Linked DNA regions of Chlamydomonas reinhardtii. The protein of the gene in region 2 binds, or shares a complex with, the protein of the main gene of each other region. Links are inferred from orthologs where the notes say so. Each region holds a gene or a part of one and is shown on either strand. Other genes may lie near its edges. The genes, in order: CHLRE_17g712000v5, CHLRE_01g051100v5 and CHLRE_16g688750v5.

The links.
Region 1: CHLRE_01g051100v5 (region 2) and CHLRE_17g712000v5 share a complex: the UniProt entries of both Arabidopsis thaliana proteins name them as parts of the spliceosome. The link is inferred for Chlamydomonas reinhardtii from reciprocal best matches to the Arabidopsis thaliana genes SKIP and RSZ21.
Region 3: CHLRE_01g051100v5 (region 2) and CHLRE_16g688750v5 share a complex: the UniProt entries of both Arabidopsis thaliana proteins name them as parts of the spliceosome. The link is inferred for Chlamydomonas reinhardtii from reciprocal best matches to the Arabidopsis thaliana genes SKIP and SMU2.

The regions. Positions count from the first base shown.
Region 1 is NC_057020.1:2,066,818-2,073,870, forward strand, and holds CHLRE_17g712000v5 (uncharacterized protein), read left to right. Parts: upstream 1-2,638; 5' UTR 2,639-2,750; coding exon 2,751-2,769; intron 2,770-2,863; coding exon 2,864-2,959; intron 2,960-3,053; coding exon 3,054-3,059; intron 3,060-3,894; coding exon 3,895-3,965; intron 3,966-4,121; coding exon 4,122-4,459; intron 4,460-4,644; coding exon 4,645-4,789; 3' UTR 4,790-5,333; downstream 5,334-7,053. Other genes in the region: CHLRE_17g711900v5 (uncharacterized protein), read right to left, coding at 1-23, 361-873; CHLRE_17g711950v5 (uncharacterized protein), read right to left, coding at 1,537-1,812, 2,045-2,088, 2,317-2,470; CHLRE_17g712050v5 (uncharacterized protein), read right to left, coding at 5,528-6,143, 6,390-6,460, 6,705-6,780, 6,991-7,049. UniProt on the Arabidopsis thaliana protein: Probably involved in intron recognition and spliceosome assembly.
Region 2 is NC_057004.1:7,069,193-7,076,275, reverse strand, and holds the start of CHLRE_01g051100v5 (uncharacterized protein), read right to left. Parts: upstream 4,421-7,083; 5' UTR 4,138-4,420; coding exon 3,766-4,137; intron 3,469-3,765; coding exon 3,298-3,468; intron 3,065-3,297; coding exon 2,855-3,064; intron 2,681-2,854; coding exon 2,510-2,680; intron 2,233-2,509; coding exon 2,106-2,232; intron 1,930-2,105; coding exon 1,700-1,929; intron 493-1,699; coding exon 337-492; intron 121-336; coding exon 1-120. Other genes in the region: CHLRE_01g051050v5 (uncharacterized protein), read right to left, coding at 5,989-6,124, 6,323-7,083. UniProt on the Arabidopsis thaliana protein: Splicing factor involved in post-transcriptional regulation of circadian clock and flowering time genes. Associates with the pre-mRNA of PRR7, PRR9, ELF3 and GI, and is necessary for the regulation of their alternative splicing and mRNA maturation.
Region 3 is NC_057019.1:3,684,487-3,691,335, reverse strand, and holds the start of CHLRE_16g688750v5 (uncharacterized protein), read left to right. Parts: upstream 1-2,500; 5' UTR 2,501-2,630; coding exon 2,631-2,839; intron 2,840-3,077; coding exon 3,078-3,213; intron 3,214-3,554; coding exon 3,555-3,656; intron 3,657-3,900; coding exon 3,901-4,047; intron 4,048-4,301; coding exon 4,302-4,487; intron 4,488-4,634; coding exon 4,635-4,760; intron 4,761-5,124; coding exon 5,125-5,330; intron 5,331-5,586; coding exon 5,587-5,893; intron 5,894-6,084; coding exon 6,085-6,141; intron 6,142-6,462; coding exon 6,463-6,635; intron 6,636-6,849. Other genes in the region: CHLRE_16g688800v5 (uncharacterized protein), read right to left, coding at 1,310-1,359, 1,740-2,271. UniProt on the Arabidopsis thaliana protein: Auxiliary spliceosomal protein involved in splicing of specific pre-mRNAs that affect multiple aspects of development.

The DNA.
Region 1 (7,053 bases), on a different chromosome or scaffold from region 2:
ACCACCCGGTGCGCTTCGTAGAACTGGGGGAGCAGCAGCAGCAGGGGAACGGGAGCAGGAGGAGGAGGAGGCAGGGCAGTGGAGAGACGACGGAGGGCTAAGCTGAATGCCGGGTGAGGGCGTCAGAGTTGCGAGTATGCTTAACGCCCTCTTTGTAGCATATATGCAAGTGAGCTGCGTGCGAGTAAACTGTGAGCAAATTGCGAGGATGGCCAGGGATGCACTAGCGCGCTGGCGGCGTCGGCCCTGCTATACTGGCGGCGAAAGCAAGTCTCTTTGCCCCCCCCCCTCAGGCATGCCCTTGCGGCGCTGCCCGCCAAGATGCACTAGGACTCCGGCCTCTGCCCAATCCCGCAATACCTCACGGAACAGCTGTTGCAATGGCGCCTCCAGTTCTGAGGGCACCTGACGCTGCCATCGGGTCAACCACGCCTTCACGAGCTGCGCCATCGCCACGCGGCGGATGACAGGGAAGGCCTGCCGTAGCCCGAACATGTCTGGTGGCCCCGTCGTGATATTTGCAACACGTGACGTGTAGAACGCCCCGAGCATTTGCGCCCACGCTGCGGTGCTGTCGCGCCCCTCTTCGCCGAACTGAATGAGGCTTCTGACGCAGTCTGATGCGCCGTGCTCATCCAGTTCAGGCAGCTTTTTCAGCGTGCCGTTGAGTTTGAGCAGCGGCATGGTGATCGCAACGTCCAGCATCGCAAGCAGCTCGCCATCAGCAGTTGCATTCGCCGTGTTGCCAAAGAACAGCTCTAGTGCCTTCTGCACCAGCGGCTCTGTGGCCTGGGCCAACGTACTTTGTGCCAACAGCGCCAGGATTACCAGCGCCAGCACGCTGGGAGTCCCCAGCCCGTATCGTTGCTTCATAGGCAGCGAAGCACTGTAGGGCTTATTTCATTTATGCTTTTGCAATAAGGCCATAATAGCAGTAAAGTGAGTAGTCTTGACCAGTTTGTGTTTCGCGTGAGCAAATTGAAGGACAACAGCTCGAATGCTCTTTGTCGCTTCAAGTCAATCAGTGTGACCCTGTATTACTATGTAAAACTTGCGTACAGAAGTTGTGGGCATTCACGTGAGTGCGTGCCTTGGTTCCAATTTCCCGGCCCCCTCAACCGTGCGCTTTTCCCGGGGAACACTTGTCCCGTGCCGACAGCTCGCCCTGGCTACTGACGCGTCCCGCTTACAAACAGCAAAGCGGATGCCGCTTGCATACTCACACCGTGTGACAAAGCTGCGCACGATATCTCGGTGCTACGTACACGGCAAATGGCGTGACATGGCACGGCGCTCACCGGATCGGGCGAGCGAAACAGACAGGGGCGCAGTGTAGGGGTGCTTTGCAAGTCGGCATCAATCAGAAGCTTCTTTACATCAGGACCAGCTCGTCGCTTATTTGTGCTGTCAAAGCGTGTGCCCGCTCAGGCACACCGGCACAGCTCCGCATCGGGGCCCACAATCCACTCCCCGCCACCATCGCATCTGCACGCGTGCGCTAGCCCCAACCTATCTCTCCTAAAGGTCCCTGCACGCTCACACCGTCGCGCCCTCTTTCAATATCTGCAGTGAGCCTTTAAACGCTGCCGCCGTGGCCCTGGCGTCCCCCAGCTGCTTGTCCAGCTCCGCCAGCTGCTGCCGAAGGTGCTCCTGCCGCGGCGCCACCAGGCCCCGCACCTCCCCTAGCGCCGACTCCACGTGAAATCCTAGGCCCACGGACACGTAGATCCTGCTGACGTCTGGCACACGCGCCGCGCACTTGACATCGCAGCCCACGTCCACACGCTGGCCCTCGAGAGAGGTGGCGCCGTCCTGAATGCGGTTAGGAGGGGTTGAGGTTAGGGTGGGGGTAGCAGAGGTGAGGCGTTAGTGCTGGGATTGCATGGCGATGCGAAGTAGAGTTTACAAGTGGGTGCGGTGCAAGAGAGGCGAGGTACGCATGCGGGTAGCGGGGCATAATGGAGCTGGCTCGCCGCCGACCAGGTTGCAACGGGTGTTGCCCGCACCCAGGCGATAACACAACCTTCCAGATGCTGCCACTCACCTTGACGAACGTGGCCACACCGGCCACAAGCTTTTCGTACTCGTCTGTGAAATGACACCGCAAGAGCAACGGGTGGATGTTGCGGCGGCGGGCCAACGCGTTGATCCACAGGCCATATGTCCATAGGCCAGGCAACGGCCTCACTCCTAGTTTGAGGCCCTTCTTCCGCCGTATCCCACGGCTTTCCAACGGCCACTCCTACCCTTGACACAGTTTGGCCCTCCCAGTGTAACTGGACACGCCCGCCCCAAACCCCAGTCCGTCCAACTCACCCGAGTCCTCTTGCAGCTTCGCCCTCCGCTGTTCAAGCTTATCGATGTCTGCCTCTAGTTTCTCCTTGTATCCCTCAAATTTCCCTAGTTGTGCCGCTAGTTCGGCCTGCGTCAGTGGGGCATCGCCGACGTCACTTTCCGCAGGCCGCTGCATCGTTACCGCTGGTGCAAGGAATTCACAGAGCATCAATAGGGCTTCTGGGCAAGCGTGTGTTTTGTTACAGGCTGGCGCAGACTTGGGATTCATGTAGGCAATCCGCCCAGCTGAGCAAAACTCCTGTCTCTGCAAGCTGCATGCATAAGACGCTGTACTCATAAGGGCATAATTGTTCAAGGTCTGCATCTGCGAACGAACTAACGAGCGAGGGCGAGGGTTAAAAGGAATCTTCTGAAGTCGTTTCAGCGTCTAGGTTTAGGTTCAGGAGCAGGTGGCTATGGCGCGTGTGTATGTCGGTAAGTGAACGATAGTATGCTGAGCTGCTCTGGCTAAGGGGGCAGCCGCTGGCACCGCTCTTGGCAGTCACGCCTCGTGTCTTCGGCTGTCCAGGTAACCTGCCCTCGGGCATCCGTGAGGAGGATTTGGAGACAGAGTTCGTGCGCTTCGGCAGGCTAAGGAACATCTGGGTGGCGCGCAAGCCTCCAGGTGAGCGAGCGAGTCGCTGCAATTCTAGCGATCGCGGCGCGCTGTGCACCGTGCTGACTTTCTGCGCGCCCTATTGTCCTCCAATTTACCGCAGGATTTGGTAAGCATACACGCACCTCGGGAGCAGCGCAGGGGCCAAGACAGGCGAGGGTCTAAATGTACTCGGCACGGCCAGTTGGGCTCGCCGCTCTACGCTGGAGGCTGGACAGAGAGCGCATTGACCTAACCCCCGCAGGATGACAAGCCTCGCTGATGCGACCACAACCCAGCCTGACCTACTGTCGGCCCACCCTCCTGCGCTCCCCAACCCCGTCGCACGCATCGCCTTCTCCTCTTCCCATCTCCAAGCACGACCCCATCAACGCACACCGCCTGCGTCATATATGTACTGGCGGCAGCTCATCTGCTGCCGCCCACTGCGCCTTCTCGGCTCGTCCTAGTATCGCATCGGGCCCGTCCCCTTCCCTCTACCCGTCGCCAACCCCGCCGTCCTCGCCGCGCCTCAGCCGCATCACCCTTCACCGTCAGCTACACCCATGCCCTTCAGCAATGGCCCCTGTGGCCTGTGCACACGTCAGCAACGACCACGCCTCAGCCACTTCAACCCTCACCAGCCTGCACCGCCTCACCTGCAACACCGCCCCCACACCTGCCACCTGCTCGCCCACTGGCGGCCACCCGCCACCGCCTGTGCTCGCCCCACCCTCCCTGGCGTAGGTCGTGGGTTGCACAGGCAGCGCGCGGCTTACACTAGCAGTCCTCGTGACTGCACACACGGGAAGCAGCTCCTCGCTTGCTCCGCGCCTGCCCTTTGCCAGCAGCCTCATTCAGCCTCATTGGATACACCACAGGAAATAGAGCCTCTCAACAACATTGAAATGCCGTTTCCTGACGCCTGCGCCCTCCCTGTAACTTCCTCCGCTCTCAACCTGCAGCGTTTATTGAGATGGATGACCTCCGTGACGCGGAGGACGCGGTGCGCGCTCTGGACGGCATGAAGGGCTGGGTGAGTCGCGACGCAACGTACGTGCTGCCGGTGACTTGACGAGGTTGTGGGTGACCTGGGTGTGTGTTGCGCAAGGTAGGCTTGATGTCAATGAAGTGGATCGCTTATCATGGACACAGAACTAAGTGTTGTTTGGCTTGCTATTCCTTACTGCAGCGTGTGGAGATCTCCCGCAACCGCGGTCCGCCCCCAGGGCGCGGCGGCGGCGGCGGCGGCGGCGGCGCCTTCCGCGGCCCCCCCCCGGACCGCTTCGACGACTTCCGCCGCAGCCCGCCGCGACGCCGCAGCCCGAGCCCTATGCGCCGCCGGAGCCCCAGCCCTTACGGCCGCCGCGCCAGCCCGCCGCGACGCCGGTCGCCCAGCCCGCCGCGCCGCCGGTCGCCCAGCCCGCTGCGCCGCCGGTCGCCCAGCCCGCTGCGCCGCCGCAGCCCCAGCCCGATCCGCCGCCGCAGCCCCAGCCCCATCCGCCGCCGCAGCCCCAGCCCGCCACGCCGGTAAGCGCTTTTGTATTGATGTGTGATCACAAATACGTTCTGTGCCGCCTCTTGACTCGCGTGCTGTCGAAACGTTGCGGGTCATCTGGCGGACTTGGGCGGACAGCTATTTCAACGCATTGCTTCAAATGTTCACATTAGTCGCCCAATCCTTCAAACGTTCATGGTTCCTTTTGTAAACGTAGGTCGTCCCCGCGCCGCGATAGCCCTGTGGGCGAGCGCCGGCCGCGTAGCCCCAGCCCCATCCGTGAGCGCTCAGCCTCGCCGCCCCGGCGCTCGCCGCCGCCGCTGCGGAGCCGCAGCCGCAGCCGCTCGCCTGTACGCGACTAAGCATGGCGGCGAGAGTTGGCCACGGCGCTTTGGCCGTTGGCCAGAGCAGGGTGTGTCACTAGTGACGTGTTTGTTAGTTTACGTGATGTGGGTACTGGCAGTGCCGGGTAGTTCGAGGGGCAGGACGAGGGGCAGGAGAGGGTGCACAAGCGCTTTTGTGATACAAATCATGAAGTCGAGCCCGATTGGCTTGATGGTCATGGCAGGCGCCGCCAGAGGTGCCCCCGGGCGCCGCAAGGGCAACCAGGCATGCTGCAGTGGAAGGGATAGGATGGCGACGCCTAATACAATGAAGTGACGAGTCTGGTGTCCCGCGGAGGCAGCGGTTGAGCGCCCGTTGAGAGCATGCGGGCGCGCAGGAGAGAGTAAGTGCGGTGCTTGCGCGTGTGCAGGTGTGCTGCGTCCCAGGCATGGGGGCTATGGGGCGACACGAAACATGGAGCTGCAGACGCCAAGGAGGATGCCAAGCTGCCGGAGTGGAGGCATGGAGCCAAAGCAACAAAGCGGAAATACAAAGCTTAGGGAACTGTAACGCACTGGCTGTTATGTGCCGCGACTCATGTGCAGTAGCTCAAACCCCACGCCCAGACGGCCAGACCCCTGCGCGCACAGCAGGCATTGGTCGTACTCAGTCACCTTCAAGGCGTTCAAGCTTTCATCCGTTCCGGTCATCCAAGCTATCGTCCAGGTCACCTGAGGGCCCGTCTGTCCGTCCCGTTGATGAGTCAAGACTGCTTATCACTCCAGGATTGTCCGCGTCCCGACCTGTAACCCATCGTCCACCGCCGCAGCACCCTGCGCCGCGGCACGGGTACTAGCACCACCAGCACCGGCGGCTCCACCAGCCTCCGCACCTTTAGATCCTGTCCCTACACTCTCCGATTCCGCTCTTGCTGTGGCCCCAGCCCCAGCGCCGCCGCTGACGCCGCCTCCTATCCCTAGGCCCACCGTCCCACTTGCCCCTCCTGCCATGCCTGATACTTTCCCTACAACCGCGTTCGCTGCGCCCACGCTGCCCCCGCCATCGCCAACGCCCGCACCCGCGGCGACCGCGGCGCCCCCTACTACCCCTGCTGCCCCTCCTCCTGCGCCCGCCACTGCCGCTCCCGCCCCCACGCCTGCCCCTGCCACCAACCCCACCCCCGCTCCCGCTGCTGCCGCGCCGCCGCCGCCATTCCTTGCGCTGCAGCAGCGCTGCCATGCGTCGCGGCCCTCCACGCAGGTGGCGGTGGCGGAGGCGTTGACGGTGAGGAAGTAGCGCCAGCCGCGGTGGGTGCGGCCGGCAGCCTTGTTGGCGGCCAGGAATTGCGAGTGGCCCGTGCCGCGACCCATCTTGGCCTTGTAGTCCTCGGCACTGCGCGGAGTGACGCGAGGGATGGTGGGGAGTGATGCGCGTGTGGTGGTGGCAAGGGCGGGTGAGCCCTGATTATGTTGGCTCAAGCAAAGCTATGCGTAGGACCTAGCGCATTCGTACAGCAGCCAAAGCCTCGTAAGAAGCATACGGTACTAGGTGCTGGGTATGTACCCACGGTATGTACCCGTTTCTGTGTGATTTCATGCCCCATGACCACGGCCGCCGCCCGCCTCCCAGCCGCTGCACCTGCGCGTGACGTAGTGGAAGACGGCGATGCGGTCCCAGTGCACCGCCTTGACCACAGAGGAGGACAGCTCCTGAGGAGTGATTGGAGTGAGGAGGGCGGAGTGAGGAGTGAGGAGTGAGGGCCAGGTGCCAGTAGGCCCCAATGAGGCAGAGCGCCGGGCAGGCGCAGCAGCAGGGAGCGGCAGAACGGAGCAGGCGTCAGCGCCCCGGTCACGGACAACAGGTCAGCAGGAGGAGTACAGGCCACCCGCATGACAGTTGTCAGGTGCCGTTCTGCAAGAGCGGCGAGGCCCGCACTTTCCGGGCCTCACCCACCAGGAACTTTTCGTTGACGTATCTGCATCCCGGCTTGAGCTCGCACACGTGTGGGTTGCAGCCGCGCTGGTAGCACCTGCAACATACCACACGTCACAGCGCACCGCATGCAACAATGACATTATCGGCTCCCTACCATGTCACCACGGCACGTTCGGAAACAACACCAGCGAAGACATCGTGGTTGAGCCAGGGCCCCGATCGCTAGCCCATCCGCCATGCGCCATGCCGCTCTGCGCTTCCGCCCTCGGCACCCCCGGCCTTATTGCGGCTGCCAGCTCCTCACCGTGTGGCTGTGATGCTCTTGACAAAGCCCAGCGGTATCGAGTTGAACTGCCGCCAGTTCTAC
Region 2 (7,083 bases):
GTCGTACTGCACCTCGCCGCCGCCGCCCACGTTGGCCATGCCCAGCGCAACCTTCTCGCTGATGTCGCGCTCCCGGTCGCGAGTGATCTTGCTCTTCTTGGCGCCGCCCTGGTTGGCGGCCTGTGTGTGCGTGCGCACGGTACAGAGAGTGGGCGGGAAGTGCAGCGAGGGCGTTGGTGCAGCGCAGCGCAACAGCATGAAAGCAACAACAACTGACACAGATGAGGGGCCGACACACGCCATTGGAGCAAGACTTGAAGGTAACACCTGTGCATTTTCCCCATCCGGTCCGCCCAGTCCTACACCCACGCCGCAACACCCCAGCCCGCTCCCCACCTCGAGCCGCCGCTCCCGCTCGCGCTCCCTCCGCCGCTCCTCGCGGATCTCGTCACGCCGCCGCCGCTCCTCCCGCTCCGCCACCGACTCCTGGTACCGCTCGTCCTCACCGCCGCCCCGGCCGCCGCGGTCGGCGTCCCTCTCCCGCTCCCGGTCCTGTAGGGGACATGGTTGTGTGGTCCGGGGATAAGTATACTGTCAGGGACAAGGTTGTACCGAATAGAGGGTGCGTGGGCCGGGGTGCGGTGGTGACGTGGTATGGCCGTGGAAGATGTTGCAAGGGTATCCATTTGCAGGCGGCCTGTCTTCGGCGCTGCAGTCCCGTGCCCGTGCGAGGTCTCATCTGGCGCCAGTGTGAAACCCGGGCCGCGACTGGGGCGCAGCTAGGTGCTTTAGGGCGCCAACTGTTGATCCACGTGGGTGTGCAGGTCGTGGTTTCCGGCTGCAACTGACTACTGACGGCGTGCATAGGTGCCAAGCGTAAGTGTGCTGCGGGGAGCGATATCATCAGACAGACGAACCGCTTGCGCAAACCACTGTGTGATGCCTTGGCTGCAACATGCGACACGGCTAATCCTTGAGGTGCGCACAACATTTCCTTCGCGTTCCTGGGTACCTTGCTGTCGCGCACGACGGCACAGAGCTGCTGCCAAACGCATGCAGGCAGCAAGTGCGGCCGCCTCACGCATGCTGCTATTGCGCCCGTGCGAAACCGTAGCCACGATTTGAGACGCGGCAAGGTGCTTAAGGACGCATCTTTTATGTAAAGTCGAAGCATAGAAACGTTTGTGCGATGTAGCGCAGAGCAAGTGAGCAACTCCCACAAGTAGGGGGCTACCAGTAAGCCACCCAACACGCAAATACTCTGGCGCCCGTGCGAAACCGTAGCCACAACAAAAGAATGTGGCGAGGTGCTTTTGGACGCGAGCTGTGTGTTGCTGATCTGGAAAGGAGGCGATGCATGCTGTAGCGACAAGCGGCTGCGGCGCCCACATCAGCAGGAGGGCTACCAGTAAGCCACCCAACACGTAACTACTTTGGCGCCCGTGCGAAACCGTAGCCACAATGATGAACGTAGCGAGGTGCTTTAGGACGCATGCGGTTGTATTTGCAGCTAGGGATGATGGTCTATAGCGAGCAGTGGCGGATGCGATTGCCATGAGGTGGACAGACCACGGATTGCCGCTATCCGCAGTTTCATATGGCGCCCGTGCGAAACCGTAGCAGCGATGTGGACGCAGCCAGGTGCTTTAGGACGCCAAACTAAATGCTGTGTGCCCCAGCCTGAGCAGACCGTCCAAGGCCTTTAAAAGGCCCCGCCCACCCCCGCACTACCTTACCACCCTCCCAACGCCCCACTCACGTATCCGCCTCGCTCGCCGCGGTCATAATCCCGGTCGTAGTCCCGGTCCCGCTCGCCGCGCTCCCGGTCGCCGCCGCGGTCCCGCTCCCGCTCCCGCTCCCGCTCTGGCTCCGGCTCCCGGCGGCGGTCGTAGTCCTCCTCGTGGTCGTCAAAGGCATCTGCGGCGGTGGCGCGGCCGCCGGCGCCGCGCGGCGGCGGCCCGGGCGGAGGCCCGGGTAGCGAGCCCTCCGCTGCGGGCAGACAGCGCGGCCCAACCGTGCAACTCAGCAACCTTGCATTTCGTATCCAAGATGCATCCTATACGCATTCTTAAGTTATGCGTATGTTCAGAGCAAGGATAGCAGTCTGTGATGGCTCCCCAACATTTTGGTTCCTTGCAGGCGCCCGTGCAGCGCTATGCGCTCACCTCTCCCCGCCAAGGGCGGAGGAGGCGGCAAGCCGCCGGCTCCCGCCCCCGCGCCCGGCGCTCCTTGCCGCTCCATGCGCGCCTGCATGGCCAGGTTCCGCAGCTCCGTCTCGCGCTTGTTCTTTTCCTGTGGGCAACAGCAATGAGCGCGGTGGGAAAGGTCGGTCAGTCGGGTGGCCAGTGGGTATTCGGGGCAGGAATAGTTGAGGAAGGCAACACAGCTGGGCCACAGGCATGCCAAGCAAACCGCATCTTGTAAAACCGCTTCGTTCCCGCTATCCGTTCCCTCTTGCCACTGCTCCCCCAATGCCGTACAACCACAAACAGTCCCACCCCAGACTCGGCCCTTCACACCAACCGCCATTCCCTTTAGACCCCTAGCTCGCCGCCCTACCCCTGCTGACCTTAAGCGCGAGCTCCTTCTGGATGCTGGCGCGCATGGTGATGGCCTCTCGCGCCTTGGCCTCCGCCGTGAACAGCGCCTCACTGAGCGCTGCGAACTTGTCGTTGATCTGCGTCTGCTGCAGCCCGCGCCCATCCGCAGCCAGGCGCTTGTCCAGCGGGATGGTGTAACCCTGTGCGTCGCGGAAGCGGTGGGCGATGCGGTGGGAATGGGTGCGGGTTCAGGGAATGCACAGTCCGGTTTATGTACAGAAAGGAGCAAACGGCAACCCCGCCCATATTGATTAGAGAGGCCAAGCCATCTCTGCACCCGCACATACGCCCGACAGCCACGCCCAAAGCCCCACCTTGGGGTTCTTCCAGTTGGAGATGGAGGGCGGGATCTTCCAGTCCTGCTGGTCCTTCACTGTCAGCGGCCGCGGCGGCGAGTGTAGCACGGGCACGGGCGGCGAGCCGGGGCCGCGCGGCACCTTGACGTGCCGGAACTTGGGCGGCTCCAGCGGGTCCACCGGCAGGTCCTGCATCTTGATGATGCGCTGGCCCGCGCCGCTGGCGTACTGCGTACAGGAGAAAGGAGCAGGACTGGCGTGTGACGGCAGGTGCAAGGAGTGTTGTGTGTGTGTGTGGGAGGGGGGGGGGGGTCGCAGTGGGAGAGCGGTCCGACAGAGTTGCGGAGGCCGGCGCCGGTACACCTTGCCGGTATGACACGACTACCAGAACGGCCCCGACTCTCAAGCCATTTTCCATTACAGTAGTACGCAAACGACCGCATACCGCGCCTATGCCTCACCTGCGCGCCTTGCTGCGCCGGCGTGTACTTGATGAGTGTGGAGCCGCCCGGGCCGCCCGGCAGCTTGGTAGGGTTGACGCTGGACAGCTTGCCCTGCACCACCCGCTCCAGCGCAGCCGCCGTCTCCGCAACCGTCTTCTCCACATCCTCCTCATCGGGCCGTGCGAGCGCCTGGGATAGGTGCGGTGCAGCAGTGTGGGCACGGCGCACGCAGCAGTTGAGATGTGCCGAGCTGTGTGCTGGCTGCATACCCCGCGCCGTAACCCACCCGCTCCTGGCGCCTATCTGGCTGCGCTCTTATCGCCCGGCCCCCGTATCAACAAATGAAGTCTCCCTGTATGCTCTTCTCCTTCCCGACGTACTACCCGCGGCGGCTCCGGGTGTCCTCGTTGCGACCACCCACACCAGCGCCGCTCACGCCTCCGCACACCCCGACCTTCCCCCGCGTTGCGCAGACCAGCGGCTCACCTCTTTGCTGAGCCGGTCCACCTTCGGCACAAGTGCGCCATGGTCTGAGTGCACTACGCGGTCCTTGTTCTGCCCCTGCTTGACCACCGCATCGTAATTGATCTCGCCCTTCTCGTTAACGCTGATTGCTAGCTGCTGCTTGCCGCCAGTGCTGCCCTTGCCCATGTCAAGTGGATACTGTGCCACATGAATTTCGGGAAAGGCTCCGCCATCTCCGAAGTCCTCAGCTCGCCGGGGCACCCAGCCCTTGCGCCGCAAATAAGGCGGAGGCTCCTTGAATGAAGCTGAAACTATTGCCGCAGAAGCAGGCACCGGAGCGATCGGGGCTGCGTGCTTTTGCTGGGGAGCCGGCAAGGTGCCGAGCAGCGACATTTTTGGCCCGCCGCGAAGTCCACGGCGGCGGCCCTAAGCTTGGTTAGTCGCCGACCTCAGTTGGAGCTCAGTTCAGCAGCGGCTCAGAGAAGTTTGGCTGGAAATGTGGTCGTTGCCCCGGCTAACGCAGAACGTATGCAACTAAACTACAGTCGATTCCACAGATTCAGAGGCACGAACTATCATATTATGGACAACGTCCGCCCGAGCCACCTTGAGCTATGCGTGCATTGATTCATGCGGGCGGTTCCGCACGCACGCATACTGCGCGATAACTAATTACTAATTACTCGACGCTCACCTTCGTGATTGGTTGCCTTTGACGGAGTCTGAACTGTCTGGCCAAGGGGTGACGCACTGACGCTGGGCAGCCTCCTCTCCCCATGCCCCCCCCCCCCGCGCCCTCCCGCGCTGCCCCCGGACAACGTCTCACGTTGACGTGGTGACGCGGCCGGGTTATCATACCATACGTCATACATGCGTTCTGGGGTCGTCTATATAGTGCCACTGGCTATTGGGCCACGGCGCTCTGCGTTGTCGGGCTGTGGTGGGTTGAGCCTTGGCTTTCCATTTAAGGCGCAATGCCAGAGACACGCGCAACAGCATTCCCGCTCGCCACCAGCTCAGTTCGCTCCCGCCTCGGGCGCTCAGATTCATTATCAGCACTATGCAGCAGCTCTGGGTCACGGTAGCGCGGTACTGGTTATATGGGGGGGGGGGCAGTCTCCGGCGCAGGGCGACGTGTTCCATGATTATCACCGGTGCCTGGGCTGGGGGAACTATGTTTCTGGGGACATTACTATATATAGATACCCTTCGCGTGATGTCACATGTATACAATTACAGAGATATCCAGGCCCTTTGCATCTACTGTTTACGGCCCAGCGGTTATTGCGACTCAGTCCGTACTTCATGAATTGCAGTCCTGTGCCCATGTGGCATCCGCTTTTGCAGGATGGCGCCTGTCCGCAGTACTAAGCACATCGTACGCAAAAGGCCACGATTTCCGTAAAAGGCCCGAGCCGGCCTTCATCCTGCGTGTGCCCTTTTGCACGCGTAAGCTCCACGCCGCATTCCTCCCCTATTTCCGTGGTATGCCAGTTGACCAGTTCGATAGCCGCCATATTAATGCTGTGCCTTCCGACAGCGTCCCTTCGCAGGGATCTGTAATCACCTCATCCCCACGTGCCACTGGCAGCGTCGGTCTCATGCAGGCCAAGTAGCTCTTGTACTAGCACAAGTATGATACCGGCACGCTACTCACTGTCACACAGGTCAATCACCTCCTTCACCTTCTTCAGGCCCCACTTCTTAATGCTGACTGAGGTGGTCGTCTGGCAGTGCTTGCACCGCACCACGACCGACCCTCTGGGCTGCGCGACCACCTCCTCGTGATGATCCACTTCCGGCACCCCCATTGCATGGCGCGTCCCGAGTAGTAGACCGGGTTGGTCTTCTTCAGGCGCTTGCGGCCGGCCCGGCGCCGGCCTCCAGCTGGGCGGCCGTCTCCTTGCCGCTGCCGGACCGGCCCTCCAGCTGGGCGGCCGTCTCCTTGCCGCTGCCGAACCGGCCCTCCAGCTGGGCGGCCTGGTGCCTATCCCTTTAGCGGGTGTTAGCTATGCCCTTCATGATACTATGTATGTGGGTCGCGTGAGTCCAATATGGGCGCGACCCACCGACCCAATCCTGGCTCGCCTCCCATCCGTGGCATCACCCGCGGTCTCGCATACAGAGATCGGATGCTGTCCATATATACCACTTTACCACGCACAGCAGCCACCGCAATACCACAATCAAGCCGACGCCGTATCCCCCAACACCATCTGCCCGCCCATCACCAGAGCGCCGCGTCTACCAGAAGACACGCGCGGGGGTGTTGGCCGCCTCCAGCTGGTGTTCGTGGAAGGGCGGCAGACGGCCAAAGATGCAGGATCCGCCCTCATGCTGCTGCCGTGTGCGGTCGTACATCTCAGCACGCTCCTCGTACCTGCAACGGCATTGCCAGGGCAGCCAGGCAGGGAGGACATTCAGCACGCACCGGCATCGTCTCCACGTGCTGCATCGGTTCCCATAACCCCATGAGAATTCATTCAACTCCCCCCTGTCGGTCTCCTATTGTTCTTCTCCGTGCTGTCCTTGGGCACGGCCGACGCAAACGCCTCTTCCCCACACCCAAAGCACTCACCGCTGCTTGGTAGCACGAGCCACTTGCAGCCGCCCGTCGTCCAGCCCGCTGGCGTCGTCCAGGCCGGACAGCTTGGCCTCCACCTCGGACCGCGCAGTGGTGCGCACAGCCACAGCCTGCCGCTGCCGCGCGCGCTGGTCCCGGTCCGCGCCCTGGTAAGTCAGGAAGTCGGAGCTGGCGTCGCCGCTGCCCCAGCCCTTGCGCACGTAGGTGCCCTCGCTGGGCGCATAGGAGGCGCTGCAGGGGTCCACGCTGGTGATGTGGCTGGTGTCGGCGTAGCGCCTGTCCCAGAAACGGGAGAAGCGGCCCGTGGCGTGCGTGGGCGCCTTGGAGCCCGTTGCCGACAGCCCCGCCGCGGTGCCACCAAAGCCGCCGCCACCCCCGGCGCCTCCAAATCGTGTTGGTGAGCCGCCGTGCGCGTTGGGCAGGGAGGCGGAGCGGCTAAGGGTGCCCATGTCGATGCTGCGCGTGACCGACGGCAGTGAGGTGGCTGGACCTCCTGCACCTCCATTGTTGTTGTTGTTGTCGTGCTGTGCCGGCAGGTCGTTGTTGCCGGCGCGGCTCAGGGACTCCAGGAAGGGCGCCACGCACACGTCGTGCAGGTCGTCAAGCGAGGTGCGGTCCGCAGCCGGCCGGGTGGTCACGGCGCCAGGCGGCAGCGTGCCTCCGGGCTGCAGCACTACACCCAGCCCCGCACTGATGGGCAGCACTGTCGTGCCGCTGCCGCCAGGGCTGCGGCAGGTGCCCACCGCGCTCAGCGA
Region 3 (6,849 bases), on a different chromosome or scaffold from region 2:
TTTGACACTTGTGTTGACGTTTGGGCATGCCCTGCGCAAGAACAGATCGAGTCGCATATTGTACGGGAAGCAGTCCCGAGGTGTTAGTGCGTGAATATAGGTGTGCAGCGTGCTGTTTGATGGGCGTGGCGATACACAGGCGGACTGCGCGCCAGGGTTGCGAGGGTGGTGAGGATGGTGGAAGCGCCACGGGGCCAGGCACATGCACACGTGCCCCATACATGCGGGAGGCGGCCACATCACCCACTTTCTCTGCATACAACATAAAACGCGCCGACAGAGTCCGGCCTGCCCATCAGGAGCCGCGGCGAGGCACCTTCTCGTTTGCTTTCCACATGTGTGTGTCACATACGGTACCGAGGTTGGTGGGGTGCTTGGTGTGGATTTGATTTCCAAATACCGGTAACTGGTTGGCTTGCAGGAAGTCAAATGTGTAAGAACGGTCACTAAGATGCTTAAATGCGAATGCAGACGGCAACGGAGTTTGTTGTCCCTTGCAAGCAGTGACAGCGGTCAGCAGAACGCACTGAGAGCAGACATGTTACCTCAAATGGACCTGCACCCACCCAAACCTGCACCTGCCCATGTGAGGTGCTAGATAGGTTGATCCTGTCTCAGCGCTAGCCCTCTTACACCGTCCTGAGTGGTCGTCTGTTTTAGGCGCGAACTCAAGTACTCAACACATTGCTTCGGCGTGCAGGGACGCCGCATTGGCGAGAGCCACGGATGGCCCTAATACCCTGGGGGCATGTCGCACCCGTGGAGGGCACTGTGAGAGTAACTGGTATCTGTGATGCAGGCGATGTGTTTACATCGCCAATCCGTGGGCCCAACGCACCGTCCCGCAGCACCCCAGCGCTCGGAACGAGCCAACCGTGTACGCCTGTCCTCTACCTCCACACACCAATGCGGCGTTACGATGCGCCGAGCATACGGTAACATACTGCAGCAGAGAGTGCCTGCCTATCCTCAGCAGCATCTCCACACATGCGCAAGAGCGCCAGCCAACGCAAACTTCCCGAGACAAGTCATGCACGGCGTCCAAGTCAAGGCACATACACACATACTCAACAGTCATACGTAAGAACGACACGCACACAACAATGTCCTTTGTCAGGTCTCTTTACTCATTGCTCACAGGCGGATAAGCCTCTGCTAATGCTATGCGCACAGAGGCGCACACCCCACCAACGTTCCAGCAACCACGTCTTCCCGCACCCAGACCCATCACAAAGCTGGTCTGCGAACGAGGCACTCCTCTGTCCGTTCATGGAGCACGCGCGTGAGCAGGGCGCCCCGTGCCAGCTGCTTACTCATCGCCCTCCACCTCCTCCATCTCCTCCTCCTCGTCCTCGTCACCTGCAGGGTATGCAGCATGAGCACACGGAAGTGACTAACAGGTAAAGCGCTGTGGCAGGAAGGTGCGTCCTACGCATTGATACTGCGAAGCGATCGACCACAAGTCAACTGCTGGGTGCCAGTCAACTGGGAAGGTGGTGGATGCGCGATGCGCGCCACGAGGCGGCAACGCCTCAACCCAAGGACGACCCTCTTTCTCCCCTGGCTTCACGCAGCTCCGCGCGGCTCCGTCCCCTCGCGTGCCCCGCACCCCGCAGCCACCCCGCCGCCACCACGCCCACAGCCACCCAGCCCACTCTTGCCCCAGGCCCCCATCCATCCCTAAATCCGTCCCCACACGGCACGCCACACGCCGAACCCCAGCAGCACGCCTCACTCACCCTCCTCAATCGTCTCCCCGTCCGGTCCCGCGGCGCCGGGCGGCACCAGGTACACCTGCCCGCTGCCGTCCTTGGGCATGACCACGCGGTAGCCCATCTGCTGCAGCATCTTCAGCATGGCTGTGTTGTTGCCGCCTGGCCCCGCCGCGGCCGCGCCCGCCGTATCCACCTCGCTCTCGCTGTACCCCTCCATCACCTCGTCGTGTGGCTGCACCTCCACCTCCTCGTCGTCGGCGCCGGCCAGCAGCGGGCCCTCCTGGTCGCGCTTCACCTTGTAGTCCCGGCGCGGTTTGCGCTCCGCGCCAGCCTTATCAGCGTCAGCCTGCTCGGCCTTCGCGGCGCCTGCCGCATCGGGCGCCTTGGGCGCCTTCTTGCGGTTCTGTAGGAAACGGCGGACCAGGTAGCCACCGACCAGCACCGGCAGGGCCCAGGCTTGCACGATGTTGAGGGTCGCGTCGACCAAGTTGGTCTTGGCCTTTTTAGATTTCCATGTTTCCTTGGCCGATAGACTAGACCCGGCGTAGGTAGACATGCTCGACGAAGTGCAGACTAGTTCGCGAGGTGCACACAGAGCCGCCCAAGCAACGCAGTGTCAATTCCGCAAACCCAGTGTAGGCAACTATAGATATACTGAGATCTAACAGTGATTGCTTGGAATTCATTCCAGAACGAGTATTTCGGGCGAGCTCGCATGGACAGCATGGACCACGGTGCAACAAGAGTAAAGGAACAAACATACCGTAACTGCATTCTTTCCTCATACTACACATTTTGTGCACAAGAAAGAGCTTAAGGCCGCTGCGCGATACCAACAAATCTTCCTGCTGCGCGGGGCTCTGGCTCCTCCCAAAAAACAATTGTCTCATGTTACTATAGTCCAAAGTAGCAAAAATGAACAATGATGACTTCCGAAGACTGCTGGCAACGCCCAGGGCGGAACGCTTTGGCGGGGAGACACCCGCAGCAGGCAAGTCTGGGCAGGCGCAGGCGCAGGCCAAAGCCAAACCCACGGGCGAGTACCGGCCCAAGCCCAAGCCGGGCTTCAAGAAGCCGACTGACAAGAAGAAGGAGGATGAGGACGAGGACGGGCCCAAGTACAGGTATGACGGGTCGCACGGCTTGGGTGAGGAGCGCAGTGGACACGCAGGCCGTGGGCACCTCCCAGCTCCCACACGAGCGGCCGGCATGGGCGCCGCTATTGGCGACCCCGCGACACCGATGTGCATGCTGACATGAGCCTAACGATGCACAGCGCACATACTCCACTGGACTCGTGTCACGCACCCTCCACGCGTCATCCACCACGCCCATCCTCCTTGAAACCTTGACAACCAACAGGGACCGCGCGGAGGAGCGCCGCCGCGGCAAGAACAGCGACTACGAGGACGCGTCCGCGGTGCTGTCTGCTCTGGGGGGCAGCGGCGGCGGCGGCGGGGCGGGTGGCGGCGGGCCCCTGGGCCCCGACATTGGCCAGGTGCGGCCCTGGGCAGGACTATGGCCGGGGGGCCGTGTGCTAGGAGAGCACAAGGGGGGCGGTTGCCTGTGCCAGTATGCGACGATACTGCTGAGGCGGATGATTTAGGAGAAGCGGGAGGTTACTTGCAGCGCCAGCCGTGGCAGTGCGGGCTTTGTGGCTTGGGCGTCTTTCCCTGTTGCTTGAGGATGAGGGTGCTCGACTGCGGCACATGCCGTCCGCATCCAATAAAGATTACCGTTCCTTTGGCCGTAGATGGTCCTTCATTGGGCCGTCCCGTCTTGCATGTTGTCATGTCGCAACCTCACACTGTGTCCTGCCCGGGCTGCCGGGGTGGGCAGGTGGATCTGAGCAAGCTGTCGGAGGAGGAGACCAAGTACCTGGGAGGCGACATGCGCTTCACCCATCTGGTGAAGGGTCTGGACTACGCCCTGCTGCACAAGGTGGGGGCGTGGGGCCGTGCTGGCGTGGGGGGCCGTGCTGCCGTGGGGCCGTGCGGTCAGTGAGGCACTGGCAGCGGGGTGCTAGCCTCCTGGGGAAGGACAGTAAGGAGGAGGGGTGTGTCACGGAGTGCCAGGATCGGGGAGCACCTGGGACACTGGGGGGAGCGGGCAAGGCTGGGGCTGCAGACAATGGTAATGAACCGCTAGACAAGTCTTTCAACGCATGCACGCTGCATATGCGCAGACGCGGTCGGAGATCACCAAGAAGGGAGACAGCGACGAGGAGGATGAGGAGCACGGCGAGGGGCACGGTGCGCGGAAGGAGGCGTCACGAGAAGCGGCGGCGCGGGCGGCCGCCAAGGCCAACGCAGCGGCGGGGCGCAAGGAGGAGGTGTGTGCGCATCCGGTCGTGTGCGAGGTGCTTCGAGAGGGCGCCCCAAAAGGAAAGGGTTGGACTGGATTGTGAAGGGGGGGGCTCATTCTTGTATGCTGAAGGTCTTGGTCCACGTAGAGCCTGCGCCGCACGCCTGCGACGTGTGACGGCTTCTAATGCCCTTCACGACTCCCGCTTCTGACCATCCCACTGCCCACACCCGCGTTAGCATATCCGTTCCTTGCGCGTACACACATGCTCATGCCGAGCAGGTCCGCTTTGTGACGCCGCTGGCTCGCTCCGTCTTCAGCACCCTGTTCGCGCCGCCGCGCGCCTCCAACGTGCGGGAGATGTACGGCCCCCGCCGTACGGCCTTTGTGTACGACTTCGACAACGAGGACTCGCCCGACACCGACGTGCCCACCACACTGCGCCGGCCCAAGAGCGAGTGCCCGCAGGTGCGTGCGCCGGCTGCCTGTGCTCCCGGCCCTGGAGGCGCATCTCCAGTGCCCCGTGGACCCATGCTGAGATGCAGTGGGTACCGCACTTTGAATGCGCTCGCCCACGCTGCCGTAAAATATGTTGTCCCATTGCTGCCCGTGTAGGTGGCTGAGACGCTGTTTGCGGCGGTGGACAACGCGGTGTTGGAGCGCATCGCCAAGATCATGAGCTATGTGCGCACCACCGCGGACGGCAAGAAGCTCAAGAAGAAGGACCGCGACGCGCTGCTGGTGCGTGTGGGGGCTTTACGTTGGGTTGGGTAGCTCCGGGTGACTCGGTGGGTGGCTGGATGACTGGGTGGCTGTGCGGTTGGGGCATCAGCAAGTGGCATAAGGTCGGGTTCGGATTAACCGGTCGCCAGTTACAGGTTTGGGGGCTGGGGGTTTGTGCGCACGTGTTACGCCATACAATGGAGGCGTGGAGGACACGCAGTGAGGGGGGGGGCGCTATTTCACAGGCCGCGCAGTCCAGCAGTGGCGATAGCGAAGGTCTTCGCACCGCATTACACCCCAGCGTACGCGTACCTGTCACACTAACAATCGCACCGCCAATCGCGCCTTGCGCATACCGCCCTTGCGCATACCGCCACTGTAGGGCATCAAGTCTGAGGCAGACGCCGCCGAGAAGGACCTCGCCGGCGTCTCGCCTGGCGCCCCGGCCTCGGCCGCGGCCGCGGAGCCCGCCAAGCCGGCCGCCCCCGTGGACGACGATGAAGACATATTCGGAGACGCCGGCACCGACTACCAACCCACCACCAAGGGGGCGAAGGCCAAGGATGCGGCGGCTCCACCGGGCGCCAGGTGCGGCCGGCGGGCGCTTTGGGCTGGAAGGCGTGGCGTGTTGGTGGCATGGGGGCTCGTGATTACCCTCGGACTTGTGTGTGCGCTCAACGACCTGTCTCAACGACCTGTCACCCGCGTCGCATATCTACCGCATCGGCCATGCCTACAGCACGCACGCACGCAATCACGCACACACGCACACGCACGCCCGCCGTCGTCTGGGCGGGCTTCGTCTCGTTTTTTAACACACACGCCCGCGCACGCACGCACACAGGCGGCCGGACGGCTCCTACTTTGACACCAAGGACACCATGGACGACATCGCGCTGCCCGGCACCCGTCTCAGGCGGCCGGGCGGCGGGGCGGACCAAGGCGCAGATGGAGGCGGCGGCGGCGGCGGCGGCGGCGATGATGACATGGACTTGGAGGAGGGCGAGGCGGCGCCGGCGCCGGCACCCGGGCCGCAGCCGCAGGGTTACGGCGGGCAGGCGCAGGTGGTGCAGGGGTACGATGCGTACGGCAACCCGGTGTACGGCGGGCAGTACGGCGCAGGCGGCGCGTACGGGCAAGCGCCGCAGCAGGTGAGGGGGCTGCGTGAGCTGAGTGTGTGAGGAATGCACTGCGCCTCTGTACGTTATGTTGGTACGCCGAGGCAGTGTGCTTATCAGCGCGCGAACAAACACATTGCATGCACACACATACTCACACGCATACACAGGCACTCATTTCCCATGTGGGCTTAGCAAACAATCAAACGCCCCCAACCGTGTAGGCCGCCAACGCCTACGGCACCGCAGAGGAGCCTCGCTGGAGGGCTAGCCGCACGCGAGTGAGTCAGACTAGCACTAGCATGTCACCTGGGGGAGCGGGTCTACTCGCGTGCCGGGCGCCCTGCCCTAGCGCCCATTGGCTTACCTCAGCCGTCAAGTGCATGGTGCAAGTAGTCCCTTGGTCCATCGCCTTCTGATTCCGCTCACGCCTGCCCTCCCAATTTTCATCTGCGCCCTCCCTCCCTGCTCACCCTCTCTCCCTGGCTCCCTCTCCCTCCCTCTCCCTCCCTCTCCCTCCCTCTCCCTCCCTCTCCCTCCCTCTCCCTCCCTCTCCCTCCCTCTCCCTCCCTCCCTCCCTTCCTCTTCCTCTCCCTCCTCAGGACGCCAAGGTGAAGGCGGTGCTGGGCGAGGCTGACGGCGAGGACGACGCCTACGCCGAGTACTACCCCGGCATGGCGGGCTACGCGGGCGCGCTGGCGGACAGCGACGACGAGGGCGACAAGGCCGGCACGGCTGACATGGACTCCAAGACAGCCAACAAGAGCAAGACACGGTGAGGAGGGAGCGGGAGGGAGCGGTGGGCTGCACGCGGGGGCAGGAGGACGGAGGACGAAGGGAGGGGAGGGAGGAGGCGCCGGAGTGACAGGTGTCGGGGCCCGTGGCCAACAGCTGCTGCAGACTGGCGCAAATCGCCTCAGCATCGGAAGTCCCAGGCACTGTGTATTTATGCCTCCCGCCACTCCCCTTCCCACCCGCTCGTATGCACC